Saccharomyces cerevisiae S288C: one gene and its partner. The protein of the gene in region 1 interacts with the protein of each later gene in a biochemical or structural test. Each region holds a gene or a part of one and is shown on either strand. Other genes may lie near its edges.

Region 1 (5,419 bases):
CAATACTAACAAATATCCGAAAGAAGTCCAACTTTCCCGCTCGATTTACGTTTTGTTCAAAAAAATGTATTTGAATGGAGGAAGAGCGATTATACCAAATAGATTCTTAAAAATGTGCAAGAAGTTAAGGCCAGATTTGAACATCCCAGATGATCAACAGGATACACAGGAATTTCTACTAATAGTTTTAGCACGAATACATGAAGAGCTCTCGAACGAAAATGTTGTCAAGTATTATCCAGATCTAGTGTCATATGATGCGAATGCTTTACAAGTTAACCCATCCAAATACGAGAAATGGTACGAGAGAAATGTTATTACTGATGGTTTATCTCCAATTGATCACATATATCGAGGGCAGTTGGAGAACATTTTGAAATGTCAGCGCTGTGGTAATTCTTCTTATAGCTATTCTACCTTCTATGTTCTGTCACTTGCGATTCCAAAACTATCATTGTATAGCTTTACAAGTAAGTCGAGAAAAATTAAATTAGAGGATTGCATAAACTTATTTACAGGCGATGAAGAACTGTCAGGCGACAATGCTTGGGATTGTCCTAATTGTAGAATTACTGATTCTAAATCCAAAAAAGAAGAAATTACTAGCCAGAAGAAAAAATCAACCATATTCGGTTTTCATTCCAGATCAAGGTCAAAATCACCCCACCATCATCACCATCATCACCATAGCAGCGATGATTCAACAAAAAATGCAAAGAAGCGAAATTCTAAAAAGTTAACCACGATTAAGAGTTTAGACTTTATAGTTTTACCTCCGATACTTGTCATTCATTTATCAAGGTTCTATTATGATTTAACAAAAAAAAACAGCACTGTAATAACCTACCCTTTGATATTGAACATTATTTTAAAGAACGGTAAAGTGATTCGATACAAGTTATATGGAACGGTGAATCATTCCGGTAACCTTATCAATGGACACTATACTTCTGTTGTGAACAAAGAAAAGAGCCATGAAATTGGACTGAATAGACAAGTTTGGGTTACATTTGATGACGATTATATACAGCAACATCGCAAGGATCGCAACAACTTTGAAGCCGGCAAAACAGAAATGTCTAGCGATGAGGTATACGTCTTATTCTACGAAAGAATGGATGAAGAGAACTATGAAGAAGAATTCTGTTAATTGCATCGGATTTTTGAATTTTCCTTATGTATATACATAAATATGTTTGAAAGATTAATTAGAAAAACATGTGCTTGTTGATCCAGTTTCAGTTATTAAAAAAAAGCTGAAATGGGAAGAGAAAAAATTGACAAAATAATATATTACGAACATTTATGATGTCGAAATAATTCTAATTCTTTTTTTTTTTTTTGGATTGAACATATCGAACGAACATGTTTCGTTTACTCGAATTGAGGACCAGCGGCTAATACATCTGGTGTGGCTCTGTCTTGATAAATCTTGAAATTTTGAACAAACAAGTTGGCCAAGTTGGTAACTGCACCTCTGTATTTGGATTCACCTTGAGACCAGTTTTTAGCAGGATTCAAAAGCTCAGCTGGAACACCGTTAACCTTGGTAGGTACTTGAAGATTGAAAATCGGTAAAGTTTCGTACGTTTCATTGGCTAACGAACCATCATGAATAGAATCCAGAATGGCCCTTGTGTACTTCAATGGGCAACGTTTACCACCAGATACGTAGGAAGAACCAGTCCAGCCGGTGTTGATTAAGTACGCATTAGCTTTATGTTGAGACATCTTTGTAGCTAACATGGTTGCGTATCTAATAGGGTGCAAGGCTAGGAAGGGTTGTCCGAAACAAGATGAAAATGTTGGTTCAGGTTCAGTGACACCTTGCTCAGTACCAGCCATTTTAGAAGTGTAACCAGAGATGAAATGGTACATGACTTGTTCAGGAGTCAATTTAGATACTGGTGGTAAAACACCCGAAGCATCACAAGTTAGCAGGATAATGTTCTTTGGATGAGAGTCCGCCAAACATGGAATCTTGGCACTTGGAATGTAGTCAATTGGGTAGGCACATCTAGTATTTTCAGTAATAGAAGAGTCGTCATAGTCGACTACATGCGACTTCTCGTCATAGATAACGTTTTCTAATACAGAACCAAACTTGATAGCGTCGAAAATTTCAGGCTCCTTTTCGGCAGATAAATTAATACACTTGGCGTAACAACCACCTTCGATATTGAAGACACCATGGTCGGACCAACAATGTTCATCATCGCCGATCAACAATCTATGTGGGTCTGCGGATAAAGTGGTTTTCCCGGTACCACTTAGGCCAAAGAATAAAGTAACGTCACCGTTTTGAATACCCTGGTTGGCGGAAGAGTGCAAAGTTAAAACGTTATGGTGCACAGGCATCAAGTAAAACATAACTGTGAAAATACCTTTTTTCATTTCACCGGCGTATTCGGTACCTAAAATGATCATTTCCATTGCTTTGAAGTTAATTTCTATAGTACTCTTTGAAGACATATCCTGGGTGTGTAAATTGGCTGGGAACTGACCAGCGTTCCAGACAGTAAAATCAGGTTCTCCAAAATGGGCTAATTCTTCTTCTGTAGGTCTAATAAGCATATTTGTCATGAATAAAGCGTGGTAAGCCCTGGCACAAACAACGCGGACTTTGATTCTGTATTTTGGATCCCATCCTGCAAATGCATCGACAATATAAATGTGGTCTCTTGTTCTCAAGTAATCTGCAGCTCTTTCACGGTTGATAGACCATGTTCTTTCAGAACATGGTTTATTGACCGGACCCCACCAAATTTCGTCTTTCGAGGTAGGTTCTTCAACAATACGTTTGTCCTTTGGAGATCTTCCGGTTTTAACACCGGAATAAGCGATCAATGCACCGCTTGATGAAATGACAGTTTTATTTTCTTTTAGACCATCTTCATACAAAACGGCAGCTGGAGCATTGCGTCTGATGGTGGTGACTTCGTCACTAAGAGCCAATTCTTGTCTGATTTTTTGTTCAACTTCGGAAGTAGATCCTACTGTAGCATTCATTTTAGAAGGGGACATGTTGTTATTTTATTATGGAATAATTAGTTGCGTGAGTTTGGTTTTTTTTTTTTATTTTTGAGTTAAACAAATATAATTATTGTTTAAGCTGAAATAAAGATATATATGTATATCTGGGAAAGGCTGTTGGTTATCTGTCTTACTTCTGTATATTTAAGAAGTAAGTAGAAATACTGATTACACATGGAAGAGAAGTTACACACATTACAAAGACTTCTCTGCCCTTATATACCTTTTTTTTGTGGTCTTCTATACTCTGCCCAATGTTGCTATCCCCAGCCAAGCCTTACTTAATACACAAACGTACCATTGTCCAACCAGAAGCGTCTAAGCTTTACAATCCTGTTTGGGCCCTTTATCCGCCTATCCATAATGTTAAGCAGCCTAAAACTTGCTAGTCTAGCCGGCATCTTTCCCTTGTATAACTTAAAATACCCGGAGCTTCAGTGATATGTAGAACACAGCCGCGCCGGATGAAAGGAAGCTCGGTTTTTTCCTATTGTGAGTCAAAAAAAGAAAAGAGATGTATCCAAATTAGGAAATCCAGATCTCCATTCACCCGTCAGCGTCCCGATATTCTCCGGTGGATCGTGTGGGATATTCCGATTTTTTCCGACAAGGCCCTGGGTGGGGGCTCTGCCCAAGTGCTCTGGTCAGAATTGTATGGAAGTCAGTTGGTTATATGCATATAAAAGTATATATTAAAATTAAAGTGTTATTTATGGCGGTGAGTAGAATTGGTGTTGTTGTAAATGTACGTACAACGAACGATCAGTCTGTACACAGATGGCGCTGTTCGCCAAGTTTTGTGCACAAAGAAAACACAAATCGTGTGCTTAGCGTTTTTATTTCTTTTTCTTCTGCTTTTTTCTTCATGGCGTCGTCGTCAGATATCAGAACTACGTAGTTAAAGCGGCGAGGGGAAAGACGCGGTTCGCTGGCACTCTCTAGTTTTTCTTGCGCCTTCATTACGGATTCGATGACAAACTCGTCGACATGTGTCCTCCATGTTATTTGTTCTTCAAATTCTAAGTTCTCTTCGATGTGTGTCGCTACATTACCTGTGAATCTTAGGGGTAATACTTTATTCTCATAGTAAAGCTGCCTTATAGTTATTATACCTCTTGTGGCAGCCTCCATGACGTTTTCGTCCTTTGACTTTCGTAAAAATCTCAGCTCTTGGAATGTGGTTAAACAAATGGCAAATCTTAGCAGTCTGTTTTGAGCTAGCTTGAATATGCGTGCGGAATGTCTTAGCCAAGAAGTTGCATCAAAGACAAAGTATGTAGTTTTAAAATCTATTTCTGGATAATCAGATTTTATACATTCCAGAAATAGACCTTCATTTTCCTTTTCGCTGTTATAATTGATGTTGTCCTCTATGTTAGTGTTGTTGCTGTTCGGGACATACCATGTAGTGTAAAGCGAGGCGCTTAAAAATTCTCCATTTTTATCGAAGCACGTATAATCGGCACGAAGTTTCTTGTAGCCAACATAGTGGAAGATATTATCGCCCTCGTTGACACTTAGTTCCGGCACAGCGTGCAGATCAGTGTTGTTTTCACTTCTTGCCTCAGATATGTCAATAATACTTTCCAGGGCACCTAATACTGGTATATTGTTGTGTATATTGCACAAGGGTTCGAGTTTGAAGACTAAACTTCCCAATATATTAGTATTTTGAAATGATGAACGATATATCAACGGATCGTTTCTGATTATTACGCCTATTGGAAAACTTCTTGACAGCTCTCTAAAAAGAAATATGGTTCTGCATGCCCTTTTCCAGAATTTTTCACCATTTTCGTCCTTTTCATCAAATATAATTCCATCTGTCGGCGAATCCAATGCCATATAATCTTTTATACCGATTTCTTGAAAATTATCTTCACTACTAATCGAATGCGTATTCTTTTCGCAAATTGTGTCAAACCACAATGTTCCCCAACAGCCCAAAATTTCTGGTAATTCTTCGCCTTCATTGAATAATTCTAAAAGTTCAGAAAGGCTTAATTTATCGTAGTCATCGCATAAATCTCCAATAATAGAGTTCGATGTTTGGTTATCCAATAAATACACAATCAAAACATTCATAAAGGTAACCATTGTATCCCATGGAAAAGCTCTCTTAACAATAATCATCCAGAATTCTTTACTAACTGGATCACTCAATTGGCTGCTTTTCAAACAAATTGAGATGATAAAGTATATCCATGGTAAGATATGGGGTAATGCGATACCTAAAGGCCCATGTAGAAACTTCCGAAGCACTATTATACCGCATTTTAATGAGGTCATATTTAGAAACTTTAATGTTTCCAACCATGCTTCGTTTGTTAGCATTGAAGGCAGTATCGGACGCCTTAAGGTATCGATGTCATTGAAGAATTCTGCT
Region 2 (3,767 bases), on another chromosome or scaffold:
ATTAGTTATTGTTGATAGTAAATAATTTCTAAATATTCTTGTACTCTGGTAAACAGAAATAACAACAGATAATGGATTGATGCTTTACTTCTATTTCATGGAGATTGGTTTTATATAATAGCCTTTATTAATGGCGTCACAAATTGAAAAAAAAATTAAAAAAAATAAGACGGACACATTTGCGACGCCGGTGAATAAATGCATATAAGTAGTTTATAAGCTAGCTACTACTCAGAAATAATTTCAAAAAAAAAAAGAAGTGGGCACTTTAAAATGAAGATTAGCTATAGTAAATTACTGTAGTATAACAACTACCTGCTATCTTTCTGAAAAAATCAGGCAATGTAAGGTCAAACTTGTACCATCGACATATATAATGTTTTGAGATATAAGTAACTAGAGACCAGTTTATACAGGATCTTACCTCTTTTTACCGTTATGAAAGCTTTATTACTGCGTTGTTAGTAAACACACATATTATTTTCGGGTAGTCCTGTCGATGTTCCAAGGCTTTGCATTTATCATTGTTTCCGCTTCATCGGTGGTATTAGTTAGTGTATCTGTATGTGAAGTATGTGGATAGGTGCTTCTATTATTGGAACAAAACACCTTAAACGCGCACTAGGTTATAGGAAAGGGTCCATTATTCAAAGAACGGCTTATTGAAAAGTATGTTGTAAAGCTCGGTCATATCGCGCATAGCCACGATAAGGCGTGGTGCTGCTTCATAGATTGAGAGGCGCAGTCAATACACAACCATACCGGTAGTTTGATAAATGATACTATCATTCCGGAAGCTCTCTAGTAAGCTGTAGGTGGCATATACGGTATCTATCATCTAGTAATAGCTATTGATTTTTTTCTCGACTATGCTATATGTGTTGTGATGGTTCACTTAGAAGTGAAAAAGTAGCAATAAATTAGACAGACAGAAGTAATTGAAGCTACATTCAACAACATGGCTAAGTAAAAAAGCGTAGAATATCATGATGGGTTTTTTTATCTTTTAATTGCTTTCTATGTAGTATAATGGACCGATCTTTGCAAGTATATATCTGTATGTATCCATATTTAGATGGCAGCAAGCAATATAGATTTGATGAGCTTATATCATTTTATCGTCCTTGTCCAAAAAGTCTTGATAACATTAAAAGTCACTACCGTCAAATCCATCATCAAATCCGCCGTCGAACCCACCAGCATCATCAAATCCGCCGTCGGACCCACCAGCATCATCACCGTAGTAATTGTTCTCGACAACGACAGTGTCTGGTCCGTCATAGTTGTGGTCGTCAAATGCGTGTTCTAGCATAGCTCCACCTAACAAACCCGCACCAACACCAAGTAAACCACCCATCATGGCACCGCCGTGTCCACTACCTTTACTGGTGCTTGGCGCAGTTCCATAGTATGCTTGCTGTGGTGCTGCTGCTGGCATAGGGGCTTGTTGAGGATAGTAACGCTGCTGTTGAGGGTATTGAGGGTACTGAGGCTGTTGAGGCTGATAGTAACGAGGTTGCTGTGCTTGGGCCCCTGCTTGCACTTGCGGTGTTGATTGAGAAGAATAAGGTGGAGGAGCCTGGTCTGCCTGTTGACGAGAACTCTTCTCATTGTTAACACCTGGTGGAGGACCTTTGGGTCTTGGCCATGTTGTTCCCCTTGGTGGTTCCCACTGAGAGCTGTTCGTAGATAAATCTACATAATACCAAGTCTGGTATTCATCATCAAAAACAGCCTTCCAGCCAGAAGGCACTTGAGGAGGATTACTTTTACTTTGAGCCATTACTTTAAAATGTTTTGGGTTTTTTTATCGACTCTCTTGTAGTGAGTGATAAAAGCAATTCAGAAAGAGTCTTTTGATTATCATGACTAAAGTAAACTTTTTCTTCCAGCTGCCGGCTCGGTCAGGTGGACGAAACAAAAAAGCCTGTTGAAATAATACTGAATACGTTAAAACGTCACAGCGCTTGTATATCTTGTGAGAGAAAGGCTATTACCACTGTTATATGAATATAGATTGCTCAACAAAGCGTGTCTTTTTCTGTGTGCTTAAAATATAGTGTCTTTTTTGGGAAAAAAACGTTTATTTACAGTATTCTCTTCTTCTTCTCCTCATTCAACTTGTTGCGGTTCGAAGAAAATTACGCATAAAGAATCAAAGAAAGGCAAAAATTACGCTGTACGATGGGGTCGTTTCCCTTAGCTGAGTTTCCATTACGTGATATCCCTGTTCCTTATAGCTACCGTGTGTCTGGCGGTATAGCTTCCTCAGGTAGTGTTACTGCGCTTGTTACTGCCGCTGGCACTCATCGAAACTCGTCCACGGCTAAGACAGTTGAGACAGAAGACGGCGAAGAAGATATCGATGAGTATCAGAGGAAAAGAGCAGCTGGTTCTGGCGAATCCACTCCTGAACGCAGTGATTTCAAAAGGGTAAAACATGATAATCACAAAACCCTCCATCCAGTTAACTTACAGAACACCGGTGCAGCGTCTGTGGATAATGACGGTCTGCACAATTTAACAGATATATCCAACGATGCAGAAAAACTTTTGATGTCTGTGGATGATGGTTCTGCCGCACCTTCTACATTGAGTGTAAACATGGGAGTGGCATCTCATAATGTTGCTGCTCCCACTACCGTCAATGCGGCAACAATAACTGGCAGTGATGTTAGTAACAATGTTAATAGTGCTACTATTAACAATCCTATGGAGGAAGGAGCGCTGCCGTTATCACCCACTGCTTCCTCTCCAGGTACCACAACTCCTTTAGCTAAAACTACGAAAACTATCAACAACAATAATAATATCGCCGATTTGATAGAATCCAAAGATTCTATAATCTCCCCTGAATACCTTTCTGATGAGATTTTCAGCGCAATAAACAATAATCTCCCTCACGCATACTTCAAAAATTTATTATTTAGATTAGTTGCCAACATGGATAGGAGTGAACTATCCGACTTGGGGACTTTAATCAAGGATAATTTAAAGAGGGACCTAATAACGTCTTTGCCTTTTGAAATAAGTTTGAAAATTTTCAATTATTTGCAATTCGAGGATATTATAAATTCCCTTGGGGTCTCCCAAAATTGGAACAAAATAATTAGAAAATCTACATCGTTGTGGAAAAAACTTCTGATATCGGAAAATTTTGTGAGCCCAAAGGGTTTTAATTCTCTCAATCTCAAACTCTCCCAAAAATACCCAAAACTCTCACAACAAGATCGCCTTAGATTATCTTTTCTGGAGAATATATTCATTTTAAAAAATTGGTACAATCCCAAGTTTGTACCACAAAGGACCACGTTAAGAGGCCATATGACGAGTGTTATTACGTGCTTGCAATTTGAAGATAATTATGTCATTACGGGGGCTGATGACAAAATGATCAGAGTTTATGATTCGATAAACAAGAAATTTCTTCTACAACTATCAGGTCATGATGGTGGGGTTTGGGCATTGAAGTATGCCCATGGCGGTATTTTAGTCAGCGGTTCTACAGACAGAACGGTGCGAGTTTGGGATATTAAGAAAGGTTGTTGTACCCATGTGTTTAAAGGTCATAACTCTACGGTGAGGTGCCTAGATATAGTAGAATATAAAAATATCAAGTACATTGTTACTGGTTCGAGAGATAACACTTTGCACGTTTGGAAATTGCCCAAGGAGTCCTCCGTTCCTGATCATGGGGAAGAACATGATTATCCATTAGTCTTTCATACCCCTGAGGAGAACCCATATTTTGTTGGTGTTTTAAGAGG

What was found. Proteins that work in one complex are often made in the same cells at the same time.
Region 2: the proteins of PCK1 (region 1) and WWM1 interact in a test that uses a peptide from one of them, tested with the Saccharomyces cerevisiae proteins (one large-scale study listed by BioGRID).

Annotation. Positions count from the first base shown.
Region 1 is NC_001143.9:628,757-634,175, reverse strand, and holds PCK1 (phosphoenolpyruvate carboxykinase PCK1), read right to left. Parts: upstream 3,025-5,419; coding exon 1,375-3,024; downstream 1-1,374. Other genes in the region: ubiquitin-specific protease UBP11, read left to right, coding at 1-1,150; ESL2 (Esl2p), read right to left, coding at 3,796-5,419.
Region 2 is NC_001138.5:113,961-117,727, forward strand, and holds WWM1 (Wwm1p), read right to left. Parts: upstream 1,784-3,767; coding exon 1,148-1,783; downstream 1-1,147. Other genes in the region: hexose transporter HXT10, read left to right, coding at 1-25; AUA1 (Aua1p), read left to right, coding at 1,030-1,314; SCF ubiquitin ligase complex subunit CDC4, read left to right, coding at 2,185-3,767. UniProt on the Saccharomyces cerevisiae protein: Involved in apoptosis. May play a role in nuclear function controlling cellular proliferation coupled to mitochondrial biogenesis. Causes impaired growth when overexpressed.